Caenorhabditis elegans: one gene and its partner. The protein of the gene in region 1 purifies or fractionates together with the protein of each later gene. This does not show direct contact. Each region holds a gene or a part of one and is shown in the gene's direction. Other genes may lie near its edges.

The links.
Region 2: the proteins of unc-87 (region 1) and ttr-5 fractionate together in Caenorhabditis elegans (co-fractionation; one large-scale study listed by BioGRID). This does not show direct contact.

Annotation. Positions count from the first base shown.
Region 1 is NC_003279.8:6,758,809-6,768,711, reverse strand, and holds unc-87 (Protein unc-87), read left to right. Parts: upstream 1-3,021; 5' UTR 3,022-3,101; coding exon 3,102-3,705; intron 3,706-3,912; coding exon 3,913-4,121; intron 4,122-4,368; coding exon 4,369-4,527; intron 4,528-4,777; coding exon 4,778-5,260; intron 5,261-5,314; coding exon 5,315-5,449; intron 5,450-6,837; coding exon 6,838-6,945; 3' UTR 6,946-7,359; coding exon of another isoform or gene 7,360-7,458; 3' UTR 7,459-7,491; downstream 7,492-9,903. Other genes in the region: F08B6.1 (BPH_3 domain-containing protein), read right to left, coding at 7,360-7,458, 7,921-8,047, 8,174-8,280; calu-2 (EF-hand domain-containing protein), read left to right, coding at 8,545-8,610, 8,661-8,790, 8,856-8,959, 9,290-9,389, 9,558-9,768. UniProt on the Caenorhabditis elegans protein: Thin filament-associated protein that is implicated in actin bundling and actin filament dynamics. Exhibits F-actin cross-linking activity. Required for the maintenance of sarcomeric actin organization in striated muscles.
Region 2 is NC_003281.10:9,325,674-9,331,459, forward strand, and holds ttr-5 (Transthyretin-like protein 5), read left to right. Parts: upstream 1-4,642; 5' UTR 4,643-4,643; coding exon 4,644-4,788; intron 4,789-4,833; coding exon 4,834-4,970; intron 4,971-5,015; coding exon 5,016-5,072; intron 5,073-5,120; coding exon 5,121-5,201; 3' UTR 5,202-5,255; downstream 5,256-5,786. Other genes in the region: C40H1.7 (Fungal lipase-type domain-containing protein), read left to right, coding at 33-97, 145-262, 307-439, 692-844, 893-1,068, 1,124-1,319; cepr-104.1 (CEntrosomal Protein Related), read right to left, coding at 1,634-1,856, 2,139-2,440, 2,482-2,602, 2,657-2,790, 2,842-3,415, 3,533-3,693.

The DNA of each region.
Region 1 (9,903 bases):
AACCCTGCATAGAAAATTACTACGATTGCGGTGGTAGAATCGTATTTATTAGAATTAAAATTTTTAGGAAAAATGATTGCATTTCTAAAAGAATACTGTACTTTTTCGAACTAATAATACTTTCCCATTCGACTAGAAAACAAATTCTCATATTACAACAACTACTGTTTCGTCTGTTGCTCTGTCAAGCGAAGGCTCCCGCTTATCTCTAATCCACAATAATCCTTACACTATTTCTCTAATTGTCATCCTCTCATCACTTGTTGTCACCTGTTTTCTTATTTATCACTGATTACTAATAACTCTTTGAATTTTGAAGCAATATTACACTGACAAGATTCTAAACTTTACAAGTTTGAAATATTACAGTTTTTTTTTCAAATTACAGCCGGAAAACATTTGAATGACACGGGCCATTTCGACCGAATTTCGTTCCTAAAAACTGAAATTTAATTTTACGGTCTAGTGAAAAATTGGGAAATTCTGACTGGAAATCTTGTGGTTCAAGTAGTTGAGGCCAAAACTTATTAGTCTGATTTCTTTTAAAATAATAAAATGTATCAGCTAATTTGAGAAATGAAGCTTAACCTTTTCTCCTTAATCAAACTACTCTGCACCATATGAAAAACTTCCGAAAAGATCGCTACAAAAGAGAATCCATGATTTTTGTCTGTTATTTTTCTTTGTGTATATGTACAAGAAAAAAAACGATGATTCGTAGAGAAGAAACAACTTTTTTCAACTCTCGCCCTCCTGACTATATACATCAGAAAAAAAACTATTGAAAAGGTTTTCCCTCGTTGTTTTATATTGCATTGTCTACGTTTATTACATGAACATTTCTATTCGTTTTTTTTCTGTCAACTCTCTTTTTTTTTTTTAATGATTAATTTAATATCGTTAATTGATTTCAGAGGAAGGATGCCGCCAACTGAGGATCAAGTTGTTGCTGGTGAGTCATTTTTACTTCGATATCCGAAGAAGAAATATAAAGATTTATAAATAGTTTCAAATCTCTGAAAATGCTGAAAATTGTGATTTTTGAAATTTCATAAATTTTAATATTTCAAATTACACTGAAACAGCAACGTTTAAAGTCTAGCAGTGATCGTGCGAGCGTAATAGAAAAAATAGGGTATTTAACTTTTTAAAAAAGGTGTTTCCAAACTGTGCAAACTTTCAATAAGCTTCTGACCAACGATGAACCATATCTCCGAAAAATGGGCTTCAACTCCTTCTCCTCGCTTTCCGAACCTTTGTTGTTTGCCTTCGCGTCAGGAGCGGGGGCGGGAAAATAGGTCAAAACTGTCAAAAATTTGTATATTTTGTGTGTTATGTGAGTGCGTGTCTATGAGCTAATCATCAAATTTGATAGATTTTACGATTTTTTCTTCAGTTTTCAGATGTTTTGCCGTTACTCTGATCAGAGATCAAACTACATAGTGACGTAACGACACGCGCTTTATATATAGTAAATTGATTTTTATTAAAAATTTGAATAACTTGCAAGTTTATGTATAATGGTGAAACGTTTTTTTTCTGTAGATATATATTAACAATTTTTAGACTGTAGATCTCTACAATGAAATGATAATTTTTAAACTGGTTCAATCCAGTGAGCATTTACCAATCTACAAAAGCCTCGAAGCATTATGCATTCTAAAATTTACCTTTTAAAGAATTTTTATTTCGATACGAAATTTGAAAATAAATATAATCTATAGTAATTCTTCTCTCTAATTCCCTTGTTCGATGCTCCCACTAATCTTTTCGGGTATGGTGCTGCGACCTCTGTAGTAACCGAAAACTTAAACCGAACAGCCAACACAGAGACTCCTTTTCTAATGATCTTCCATCACTTTTTTAAGAGAAACTATCTCCTCCTAAAGAAATAGTATATGTTCTCGAGAGATTATAGAGAACAAATAGCAGGAAGAACAATTGGAAGTAAAAGAGAGAAGCAGAGACTTCTCAAATAATACAATATTGTTCTTTTCTAACAGTTAGTTTCTTCAACTTTTTTTCTTTTTTTCTAACTTATTTAAAACTTATTCTCCGATAAAGAGAAATAGAGTAGAGAGGGACGAGAGAAAGAAGAAGCTTCTCGCGCAATCAACCACTTCAGATCTCACTTTTTTGGGTTAAGGCTCACAAGTTTTTGTGTGTAGATAATGGTTTGCGCTCATTAGGTGAAAAGAGATTCAAGAGTACGGTTGATTGGTTCAATTGGAAGACTCATATAAAATGAAATAGAAAGTGTTCTAGACTGATCAAAGATTTTGCTTTACTTGCTTAGATGATTTATAGTAAACTTAGTATATAGAAAACCCTAAAGGTTGATAATGTTTTTGTTCAAAGTTAATATTTTAATATGAGTTTAGTTTTTTACCGGCCTGCTATTTTTAGACTTTAAGATTTCAAGTCAAAAATGGTTGAGAATCAGAGCTATCAATAAAAATTTAACTATCTCTAATGTATGCCGGAAAGTCTGAGCCTAATCCTAAGCCTCATTCCTCATCTAACTAGTTATACAAATCCCAGCTAGTATATAATTACCGCTCTAAGACTGTTATCTGTTAGAAAGGCACTGATATAGTTTGAATATTGTAAGCATTTAGGAATTTGCCTTGCTAGGCAACCACTAATGAAATTGGAAAATAAAAATTTGCCCTGCAAGGCCTTCCATCTCTATTGTTCTAGTACTATGAGCAACCTCCTAGACACCTAAACAATCAAAAAGGATCTCCAAAATCCACTTTTTCTCTACGTCTCATAATATTTCCCACAAAATTTACAAACATTTTGAGTGCTGTTCTGCCTAGTTTTTGTTCGAACAAAAAGTTCGCCTTGTTCCTCCAAGTAAAAGTTCAAACATATGTGTTCGTTGGAAGAGTAATCACGTTTTTCTTTACTCATCTCTCGCTCCTGGTACTTTATTAACTAGAACCAGTTTTCGTGCCGAGACCCTCCTCCGCTCATCATTTTTCTATTTTCTCTCTCTTTTCTGTGCATTCCGTACTGTCCTCTGTGAACTTTCTTGTCCACTGTGCTCATTTTTTGGTTTCATTTTTGTGAAATATTTTAAACAATTGGTTTAAAGAATGTTATCATTCAACAACACAACATCTGCATCTAGTTTTCAATCTGCTTCATCAAGATATTTAATGTCATCATCATCATCAATTGGACCACCACAACAACAATCTGCAAAACTATTTCCTGAGCATTTCTATCCAAGTGGACTAAGTCCAAGACAGTCGGAAGCTCTCGAACGATTGCGACCCAATACGGCGTCGCGCGAACGAAATATTCCGATTCAATTTACCGGAAAGAATCCAACAACAAATTCAGCTCTTGAGGAGTATAAACCAGTACCACACGTACAAGTTACATCTCCAAAGTCTTCAATTGTTCCGAATTTTGTTTCCGAGCAACGCGGGCTTCAGCCTCAACCAACATCTCAAGCTCCAACCAATTATCGGCAATTCGTGGCTGCACCACGATCGCCACGTGGATATGGAGACTATCCAGAAATGACGGGAAAAGCTTCTGCTGCTGGGGATTCAGAGCCTGTTCAAATCCCAATAAAAACTCAAACTCCAATTACACAAGCTCGTGCTCAAGAAACTAAAATTCCAACAATTGTGTCACCACACCCTGTTTATTATTATGACAATCAGGAGCAACCAATTCAACAAATTCGAGGTTTTTTTGTTTTTCTTTGCGTCTTAACTAATATCTCAAATTTTATTTGAGATAACTGTGTGCTGTCTTAGTCTTTGTCCCATGTCCAGACACTTATTACTGATAACCAGTTTTTTCGGAAATCAAAAAAAAGCAACAGTTATCAAAAATCAGAGAAATCACTTCAAACTTAACCGCTCCTATATTCAAATTTTCGTTTATTTTCAGAGGAGCAACCAAATGCCACCATGGAGACCAAAGTCACCGGACAAGGTCAGCCAAAGCGTGTCGGACGCTGGACATTGGCTCAACTCCGTCAAACTGACGGAATTATTCCAAGCCAGGCCGGATGGAACAAGGGAGACTCACAAAAGTTGATGACCAACTTCGGAACACCAAGAAACACTAACACTCGTGTCAAGTCTGAGAACCTTCAGGTATGGAAATTTTATGGTCAGATTTACTTGGGTATGTGGAAGAATTTATTTTAATAGAAGCAAAATCTAGGTCACCGTTTATGTTATTTGTCTTTAAGGATACAAAACTTCAAAGGTTCTTACTCACTTTATCTCTTCTGAAATGAAAAAAATCTTTAAATGTCATTTCTTGGTACCTCCACAATTTGTTTCATTCAACGTCAAGTATTTAAAGGAATTCCAAAATTTTCAAATATAAATTTTCCAGGAAATCCCAGAAGATATTGCCAACCGAACCCATGGAGAAGTTCGTCTTCAATCCGGAACCAACAAATATTGCTCCCAGAGAGGAATGACCGGATTCGGATCCGGACGTGATGTGTGCCGTGAGGGAGTCCGTGTCGCTCAGAACCCAGCTGACTTGGCTGTAAGTTACTTTTACATAGTAGCTCTGTAACCTTTCATCACTTCAGTAAAAAAAAGTGACAGAAACAAAATAAATTATTTCTCTAATTTCCCACATTTCTGTTCCAATGTGTGTGGAACGTCTTATAGATTACGGTATTTTTTTCTGTGAACTTAGAGTAACGGATGAACAAATACTTGATTTAAAGATCAGGGATATTCTTTTGTGAACGCAAATAAACAATAATTAACATATATATATTTTTTTACAGGAGCTTCCAGAAGAAAAGATCCGTATGTCCGAGGGAATTGTCCGTCTTCAAGCCGGTACCAACAAATATGATTCTCAAAAGGGAATGACCGGATTCGGAACTGGACGTCGTGAGACAACTAAGATGGTTGACTCAAAGCATCCAGAATACGATCACGAGAAACCAGATCAATCTGAAATTCCACTTCAGTCTGGAACAAACAAATTCGCTTCACAAAAGGGAATGACCGGTTTCGGAACTGCTCGTCGTGAGACCACAAAGATGGTTGATTCTAACCATCCAGATTACTCTCATGAATGTTCCATTGATCAAACCACAATTCCATCTCAGATGGGATCTAATCAATATGCTTCACAGAAGGGTATGACTGGATTCGGACAGCCACGTTGGGAAGTTCTCGACCCATCAATCTCATGGCAAAACCGTAAATCCCAGGGAATGGTCCGTCTTCAATCTGGTACCAACCGTTTTGCTTCTCAAGCTGTAAGTTTTCTTTAGATTATTTATAGAATTTAAATAAATAAAATTCATTTTCAGGGTATGATTGGCTTCGGAACATGCAGAAACACAACATTCGAGGCTGAAGGAGGAGAGCTTCCATATGAGGCAATGAAGGTGTCTGAGACCATCATTCCAAGTCAAGCTGGATGGAACAAGGGAGACTCACAGAAGGTTTGTCGATTGTTAATAACATATAACGGAACCCTTGATTATGACATTCTAGTGTATCCTGAATTTGTCCTGTATTCAGAAACTATTTGTAGATTCTCGCGAATTTCTATCACCAACGTGTTTAATTCTATAATTCCCTAAGTCCGAGGTCTTGACACGATCGGATATTTTAAAATTAAGCCTGTGCCTTTGAGAGTAGAACTTGTGTAACTTTTCCGCTAGGAATATTTTTAATAGTAGGGGTGTCAATAAGTTCCGGGTCAAAATTCATAACTTTTTTCGTGGCGAATCGATTTTTCTGAAAATGTGGGAATTTATGTGATCAAACATGGTCTTTCATTTGACGGTACTTTCAAAAAGTTTTGACCACTCCATGTATCCCAGCTCGGAGACACTTTTTTCAGGCGTATGCCTGATCTCGCTTCTTTGTAACTTTCAATTGAGACTTATGTGCGGATTTTGATTAATTAAGTATACAATGTAAAAATACAATAAAAATTTAAGAAACAATTGGTTCAAAAAAAATTTTTTTTTGGTTCGTCAAAAAATCCTCGAAAAAATTTTTGTCGAAAGTTCTTGATTTTTTGTACAGGAATGATGCAACCAAGTCTGAACAATTTTTAACACACAAAACTTTTGAAACGTGATTTTTATGATTTTTTAGTCCATTTTTTGAAATTTTTGAGAATTTCTCTAAATCTAAATGTTAAATTCAAAAGTTTTGTGTGTTAAATTGTTCAGACTTGGTTGCATCATTCCTGTACAAAAAATCAAGAACTTTCGACAAAAATTTTTTCGAGGATTTTTTGACAAACCAAAAAAAATTTTTTTTTGAACCAATTTTTTCTTAAATTTTTATTGTATTTTTACATTGTATACTTAATTAATCAAAATCCGCACATAAGTCTCAATTGAAAGTTACAAAGAAGCGAGATCAGGCATACGCCTGAAAAAAGTGTCTCCGAGCTGGGATACATGGAGTGGTCAAAACTTTTTGAAAGTACCGTCAAATGAAAGACCATGTTTGATCACATAAATTCCCACATTTTCAGAAAAATCGATTCGCCACGAAAAAAGTTATGAATTTTGACCCGGAACTTATTGACACCCCTAATAGAAACCTAAAATGGTAGAAAAACCGTTACTGTATTATTCAAAGGCGCATACCTTTTTGCAAACATTTTTGCGCGGCCTCGATTTTCAAAATATTTCGATCGTGGCGAGAGCAGGTACCGTATTATCAAATTATGTGCAAGTTGATTTTAAAAAAACATATAAATACATTCTAAAAAGAAGAAAAATGACCAAACTTTTAAGTTTAAAACTACGATTTCCTTTAAAAAAAAACAAATTATTGAAACAAATTCTAATTTTTCATAATTTTTCAGAAGATGACATCATTCGGAGCACCACGTGACGTTAAGGGCAAGCACTTGAAGAGAATCTGGGAGCTTGAATACCCAGAAGAGGCTGAAATCTCTTTGGATCGTCTCTAAATCATTTTTCTCCGTGTTTTTTTTTCTTTCGTAAATTACATGATACCTGTGCATAATTTGCTTCAACTTCTTCTCCAAATGTTTCTTCTTATTCTTCAAAAAAAACTACTTTTTTGTTTGTTCTCCATCCCATTTCCCTGCTTTCCTTCCTATTCTTTTCACACCCAAACAAGTTCATCATATAAATTTGAAATTTTTCGATTGTTTTCTTTTTTGCGTAAGTTGCAGCCAAAAATGAGCAATTTTAGCGAAGAATTATTCTTGTTATTTTAAACCACTTGCATTTAGTTTTCTAAATGAAATTCACAGAGATGCGACAAGCCATAGATTTACTTAAAAATATATGTTTATTCTATGAAAACCCGTACGGAACTTTCAGGCAATATACTAAAAATTTAACAAAAAATTAAAAAATTAGTTCGTGTTCAGGGCGTTCAGTTTTTCCATCATATTGTCATTGAGAGCCTTCCAGAATAGACCTTCTTCGCATTCGATGTCTGTTGTGAAGAATACCTGCAAATATTTTAATGAATACATTATTTGATTTCTCGATTTTTAAGCCAAAGGTTATTTTTTACAAAAAAAGGTTTTTAAAAATGTGTGGAGTTTTGTTCTTTTCATATAATTTATTTTTCATTACCGCGGAAGTAGTCACACCCATTTAAGCAAAAGTGGCCTTATTTTAATTTTCGAAAAAAATTATTTTCAGCGAAAATTTTGTTACGAAAATTATTTTCTGCCTAAAAATTATAATTGCGACATGATCATCAATTATAACTTTTTGTTCATAATTTCCAAGCTAATATTACACAATATTTGAGAAAATACTTGAAATACGGAATTTTTTAGAATAAATTCAATCTCTCAAAAACAAAATGTTGTTTTTTTTTGGTTTTTCTGGTTGCATCGGTTTCAGATAAAAATGAGAATTTCCTCGAGTTTTTTATTTCGAAATGAACGTTTTTTCAAAAATACCTGTGTGAATCTCGATGTTTTTGTTAACCGAAGAGTAGTTGATTTAATGAATTCTCGTTGCGTATTCTCTCCATCGACGAGCATTGTGAAGTTTGGAAAATGTGCAAGCCCGATTGAATCGATTTTACTGAAAACTAACATTTTTAAACAAACTGTTCATTTTTGACTATGGTTTTTTATCAAATAGCTTGATTTCATAATTGAAACGAATAGCTTTATTTTTTAAAAGATGAATAAAAAAAATTTAAAATACCTTTCTCCAACCCAAATCCATGCACTTTCTGTTGAATAAAGAACATATCCGTTGAGATCTCGATTGCATATCTTTTCGGAAAACTCTATTCTTTGAATTGGTGACATTTTCGGGTAGAAATTTCTGAAGAACAAGAAGATTTTAAAATTGAATCCAACTGGAAAACGCGCCGAAGGAAAAAAATCGATGTTCGAGAGGAGTACACGAGATAGCTCGGCCATGTGGAAACTAGTCCACGAGGTGCCTTTTTAGCAAATATTGGAAAAATGGATTTTTCTTAATTATGAAGAATTTTAAGTCTGTTTTAATAGATTTCATCGAAAAAACATTCAATTATTATCCCAAAACAAAAATTCCAGATTTTCTTACAAATGCGGTTTAAGCAATGCATAATATTCTCCATCATTGTATCGATTTTCGCAGAAAAAGAGCGGATGGTTCGATTTTTCAATTCAAAATCTTAAAATTTATAAAAACTGTTTTACAGATGGATGGTTCTGTTTCCCCGTCAGATCATAAAAAGCCAGCTTCTGAGCAGAAATTAAACTTAAAATCTGGCCAAGAAAGCGTAGAAAAATTTGCGAAAGCTTTGGATACAAATAATGATGGTTTTGTAGGTAATATTTAGACTTTCTATAATATAAGAATAGAAAATCCAATATATGTACCAATGATGTTTCAGATAAAAGTGAAATTCTTGCATGGGTATCCGAATCATATCAGAAAACTGTTGATAGAGAAGCAGTAGAGAGAATTAGTGAGCTTGATGAGAACGCTGATGGATTTGTGAGTTTTTCTAATTATAAGAAATATTTAAAATTTTGCACTTTACTTTTTTTTTTAGCTTTTAACATGACTCTAATCTTTTAAAATCTACTTCCAAATTTTATCTACTTCCAAAATGTGTTCTGAGAGTTGAATTGTTTCGAATTTATTAATGCAAAAGTTTATTGAATGTAATTTTTTCTTAATTCATAACTTGAGTATTTGTATATATATATATATTTTTTTTTTTTTAGTTATATTTCAAAAATACGCTTTTTTCTCTCGTAGATAGGAAACATGTGAGGTATCAAACCACCCGGTGTGAGAAAAATGTAAATTTGTATATTGTAGGTATCGTGGGAAGAATACTTGGCCGATTCATTTCCTGACGAAGAGTTACATAACAAGGAAGAAGAATCACTTATTGCACAGGATAAAATGTATTTCAAACGTATGTTTCGGAGTTTAAATAGTTTGAGAATTAACGTAGCTATAAAAAACTTAAAATGAAACGCCGACACTACGTTTTTAATCTTTCATGTGCTATTGAAAACTTTGGATTTTGGCTTTTTTTCTGAAATAAATGAGAAAATGCAACATCAAAATTAGAAAATTTCAGAAGCTGACGAAGACAATGATGGAAAATTAAATCTGGAAGAACTGGCAAGTTTTCTTAACCCGGAGCATCATCCACATATGCATCCGGTTCTAATTGCTGTAACGCTGCTAGAAAAAGACCAGAATGGAGATGGAGCGATCGAAGAGAAGGAATTTTTGGGAGAACTTGATGAACAAAGAGGCAGTGAATGGTATAAAGTTGAGGTGGAGAGGTGAGTTATTGCTTTTAATGTTAAGATTTTGGGATTTTAAAATAAATAAAAAAGATTGAAAACCAAGAAACGGGAAAACAATAAAATAACAATTTTATAGAAAATCAATATGAGAGCACGGTATACTTTAAAGGG
Region 2 (5,786 bases), on another chromosome or scaffold:
AATAAGACAATGTTCAAAATAAGAATTTTCAGCAACCAACTTCCTTCTATGAAAGTCTATAAACGGCGTGAGGCAAACTGCTCCTCACTTTTCTCAGGTAAATCCAAATTTTTCTCGGAATTCAATCATACTGCTTCGTTTTAGATGTAACTTGTTCTGGATACACTGGAATTGATTTCGACCGAAAAGTAATCGTTCTCTCGGTTCGTGGATCACACGGTGATCATCAATATTATGATTTGTGGAAAATCGGAAATTTTAAGTTGGTTTTAACATATTTTACTCTTAAAATCAGATTAATTTCAGTGGAACAGTCCCATTTCTAAATATTGGAAGAGTTACGAAGAAGTTTAATGACAACTTTGAATCATTATGGTATAGTGGATTGGGTGAAGATTTGCAAAATTTGATTGATGCCTATCCGGATTATCAGTTATGGGTGGGTAAAGGGTTTGAAAATTATTAAGTATGGATGTATAGTTTAAGACAGTACAATAAACACGACAACATGAATATTGCGGGAAGTCAAGGTTTGAGTTGTGTGACGTCACACGAAGTACGGTTCTTGTTATTAATTTAAACCTTAACTTTTAAAATGTTGGGAAGTGAAGTTTCAGTATCACGAATTCTTAAAAACATTTCGTTTCATTTTCAACACCTGAAGTGAATCCCCTCAACCCCAGAATTTCAGATAACTGGGTACTCGATGGGTGCATCAATTGCATTACTTACATCTGCATTCATTGCTCAAACTGGAATGAGCTCTCCTTACAATATGAAAGTAATTTTATTTGGATGTCCTAGATGTACAGATTATGATTTTGCAATGTGGCATAGTACCAACGTAACGAGATAAATAGAGAACGTCTAAGTTTAAAAGTTCATATTTCAGTTTCCATATTCTTACCACATTATCCACGCACATGACTATGCACCACGTCTCCCTTTCTTTGATAATATTGATAACACAACACTTTATCACCCACGAAGTGAAGTTTGGTACAACAATGATATGCGTGAAGGCGACTCTTTTGTCATTTGCGAGCAAGCAGATCAACCGTTTTGCAGGTTTTCGCAACATTTCTTATCAGCAACTATCAACAAAAATGTTTGATTTTTTCAGCAGTCAGGTGCAGAACCTGTCAAATGCCGACCATGCACATTATTTTAATATGGACTTGTACAGATGGTCAGCTGATGGATGTCCGAAGAATAAGGAAGATTACAGGCCAATTGCAGAGAGTGCGGTTAAAAATGGGAAGACGTTCAGTTATGATCTTTTGATTGTGATATTGGGTGCTGTAATAATATTTTTATAAAAAGCATAATATGTACACCAAGTATTTGTCAATAAAAATATATTCTTATTATTACATCGGAACTTTTAAAAAGTTTGCATTTTCAGGAAAAATGTACTACAAATTTGGAAAATACAATAAATGGGGGACAGAGATATAGATAAATAAATAATTCGCAAATTGATAATTCATCAATAATCGTGATCCAATTACCGTATTTCATTTAACAAATTATACTAATTTGACAGCACAGATATCAGTTCTTTTTTTTTGACACGACAAGAGAACCAAGAAATGAACTGCCACAGTTAACTGCAGTAGAAAAAACACAGTATTCAAGTCTCCTTCTCAATATCCTTCAATTTCTTCTTTTTCTCTGCTTTCTTGCGTTCTTGAATCTCTTGAAGAGCCACCACCAACTTATCGGCGTCGATCATTTTTCCAGGATATCCTGTATTATTCACAACAACTTGTTGCTGTTGCCGTCTTATTTCCGCTTCTTTTTTCAGTCGCTCTTCTTCCTCCATTTCACGCTTCTTCTTTTCTTTTGCTCCAAGTCTGAAAAATTGGATTAAAGGTGTTGTAGGGTCAGTACGGATGTTTTCTGCATTCAAATAACAAAATAATAAACTCTTAAAATCTTTGCATTTTTTGGAAACTTTGTTCATTGCTTCAAAAAATGAAAGTATAGGGAAATAAGTGAAACTATTTATAGGTGCACATCACGCTCAGCGGACCACATAACTTCATATACTCGCTAAACTATTCATTTCGAAATTAATTTCAAGCCCTGATTTTCAGAAAAGTACCACCACAGAAACTAATAAAACAAAAACATACAAAATATCTTCTTGCTCTTGTTTCATCTCCCATGGATCTTTTTCTGGACCATCTCTCCGTTGATTATTATAACAATTATTTAATAAATGTTCTCTCCAATTCTCTTCATTATCCTCCACTGCAATTGTGCACAAAGGACACCATTGTGCTCCTGTCGGGGGACGTCTTCCACGACACATTGGATGACTTCCTCCACGTTTTTGATCTTCTTTCTCAATTGCTAATCCACAGTCATTACAAGCTTCCATCGTGTCTTGGAGAAATTCACAACGATATATTAAGTGATCAGTGAGTTGAGATACCTAAATGGAAATTTACGATTTAAACCTGAAAAAGAGCCTACCATTGTCAACTTCATACAATACTTGCAACTTGTCATAACTTTGCAATATTTAGCAAAGTGTTTTTCCATTCCACCTGCTCTACCAAGACCTGACTCTGTTAATTGACAATGTGGGCATCTTCTGGAAATTAGAAAATATGTAGAAATTTATATACATTTAGATCTCTTCCCTTACCCCACATATGTTGGCATTTTATATGGATCATCCTGAACTGTGGATCCTCCTGGCAACGGAGTATCGACTACTGGAATTGCCTCTGGAACGTGTCCGATAGTTGAAAGGCGCTGATTTTTTCTAGTTGTTTTTGGCTGAAATGTTACTTTATTTTTCCAATATTTATTATTTTAATGTCAGTCTACTTTTGATGGTTCCGTTGGAATAACTCTCCGTTCTGGGGATCTTGTGGTTGCCTTTGACGTCATTCTTTGATCTCCATTATCATTATTTCCTCTGTTACTTTGCCTACTTTCAGTTTTTCTTCCTTTTGGTGTTTCAGCTCTTTTCCTAGGTTTCATAGGTGTCATTGGCTTCCAATCATCTGATGGCATTGGATTCTTATCAGGTGTCCATTTTGAATTGACTCCAAATGCTTTCATAGTTCCATCTTCCATCATTAAATCTGAATATGCATTTCTGATTGCATCAGACTTCACTCTATCCATATCCTTTGCTATCTGTTCAGCCTGCCGTGAGTCTCCTCTGACAACTGCGTCGCTTCTCTTGTGACTCAAATCGACAAGTTGTTTCTCGGCTTTTGATAGATCATCACAAGCTGATTGGCACAAATGTGATTTGACAGGTTCGTCCTTGTCACGATGCTCAAGGGACATGACTCGGAGATTGTTACGGAGAGTTCGGACTGATGCCAATGGATCGGCTCCAACATCTGAGCTCCGTTCGTCGTAGCCTTGCATTTTATACTCATTTTTGGGTCTGCAAGGTATCTAGTGAGGTAACGGATCATGAAAAACTGCACGATGTCTAGGATTTTGAAAGCTATTAATACAACTGACTTCTGACAATGAATCCAGAAATCAAAAAAGTACTTACAATCCATAATCTCCAATCTCTTTCTTCTCTTTTTCTTTTTCTTTGTCTATTGGCTTGAATCTTCCACCATTCCTCGAGCTCGCACGACTTCCCATTCCAGCAGCATTCCGTCGTTCTTTGTAATCGTCGTACTCCAGATCAAAGTTCCTAGATGACGACATTGGGGGAAGAATAATAGTTGTAAAAAAATATTTTGAAGAAAGTTTGGAAAGAAGGACGATGCTTGGAGCTAATCTATAATTCCCTTTTCTTTACATTTTTTTTGTTGGGTGTGTTACTATGGAAAGGAGAATAATGAAATGTTGAAAAGAAACAAATATACTAAACAAAAATTATATCGAAGGTTAAAGGAAAGCAGGTGTTTTGAGTAATACATTCTTCAATTAAACACTTTCAGGCGTAAGGAAGGCATGCAACAGGCATGTAAATAAGAATGTTAGTTGGGAAATATGATGATCGTGGGTCTGTCTACCTAAGAGCCTGCATGTTAACCATTTACCTTCGTACATGCCTATTCTGACCTTTCTCTTTGCCGGATGTTTGTTTTTAGGTTTTGGTCATAATGTTGACATCAACCTTTGGCATATCTTATTGAGTTTGTTCTCTTTGTATTTTTTTTCATACAGTTTCGGATACGTTTTCCTGGCTAGAGTTTCCCAGGTATGACTACTTGTTTGATTCTAATTGAAAGGTCACTTTTGTTTTTTATGTTTTTTAATGAATTAGTTGGTGTTTGACTTGTTTACAATTGTCTGATACACCATTTGTTTTGAAAATGATATACTTTGAGGTAACAAATAATCAGATCATCTCTTAGTATATTTTCTCGTACAGGTGTATATAAATTGATTAAATCTACTTATTTTCCATGGAAACTAATACAATTTGTGGACTACAACCACACTTTTCTGTCAAGCTTTTTTTTTATCAAAAAGATATATAACAACAAATCTCTCTTTTTTTCCGAATTATCTTCTTTTTCTTATCTTTTCCTGAGATTTCGTAAACATGTTGTTTTCTGAGAGCATAGCTATTGGTTCTTTGTTGGTTCCATTCTTCCATCCCGGCCTTTTTTACTTTATCATTTTGTTCTCAACAAAAGAATTTCAGAATGAAGCTTATAATCCTTTTGTGCCTTGTTGCCTCAAGCTATGCTTTAATTGGAAATACCCAATCGGCTGGAGTACGTGGAAAACTGATCTGCAATGGAAAACCAGCTGTTGGAGTTTTGGTCAAGTTGTATGATGATGATAGAGGTAATCAAAAACTTTTTTGAATATTTCCTAAAAGTCTATTTCTAGGAATCGATGCCGATGATTTGATGGCTTCTGGAAAGACCAATGGCAACGGAGATTTTGAAATTTCTGGACACGAAGATGAAGTGACTCCAATCGACCCAAAACTTAACATTTACCATGACTGCAATGATGGAATTAAGGTTTCTGGATGACTTTATTACATTTTAAGATAATTGAATTTTCAGCCCTGCCAACGCAAGTTCACTATCAAGATCCCAGATAGCTACATCAACAAGGGAAAGGTAAGAAGATTAAAAAAACTGGAAGTAAACTGAAATTAATATTTTCAGACTGTCCGTAATATTTACGATGCCGGAGTCATTCAACTTGCTGGATCTTTCCCAGGAGAAGGACGTGACTGTCTTCACTAAACTTACCAACTTATATATACTCTTTTTTCTTGAAATAAATCTTTTTAAAATAACAATTTTGGATTGCAACTTCAAATTTTTCAGAGAAAACATTTCGATCCTATTTTCTATAAAAATAAAGTATAACTGGAATATTCAGGAATGCAATAAATATAGATATTTTCCCTATAGTGCAAGAATCACAGGGGATACTGCAATCCTCGAAAACACATTTTATCCGTGATTTCGAATTTTAAAAAACTCATTGAAATATTTAAAATCATTCCTAGAAGATTATCGTTGTAAATTTTATAAATACCACCAATTTGTGCTGGATATTGAATTGAATTTTTTTAATATCGACAGTAATCTACTACGGCCAACAATTTTCGTACCGTCACTTGGTGTAATGTCCGCAAACACCACCACGTCGGAATGCACAAACTGGCCAACACGCATTCTTTTTTATTGTGTCTTCTTTTTTCTTTTTTAAAGTTATAAATATTGACGTTATTTAAAGCATAGAATTGTGAGAGAATGGAAAAACGCATCTAAATACTTTGAAATATAATATTCTCTTCAAAAAAACTGAATTTCAATGAGTCT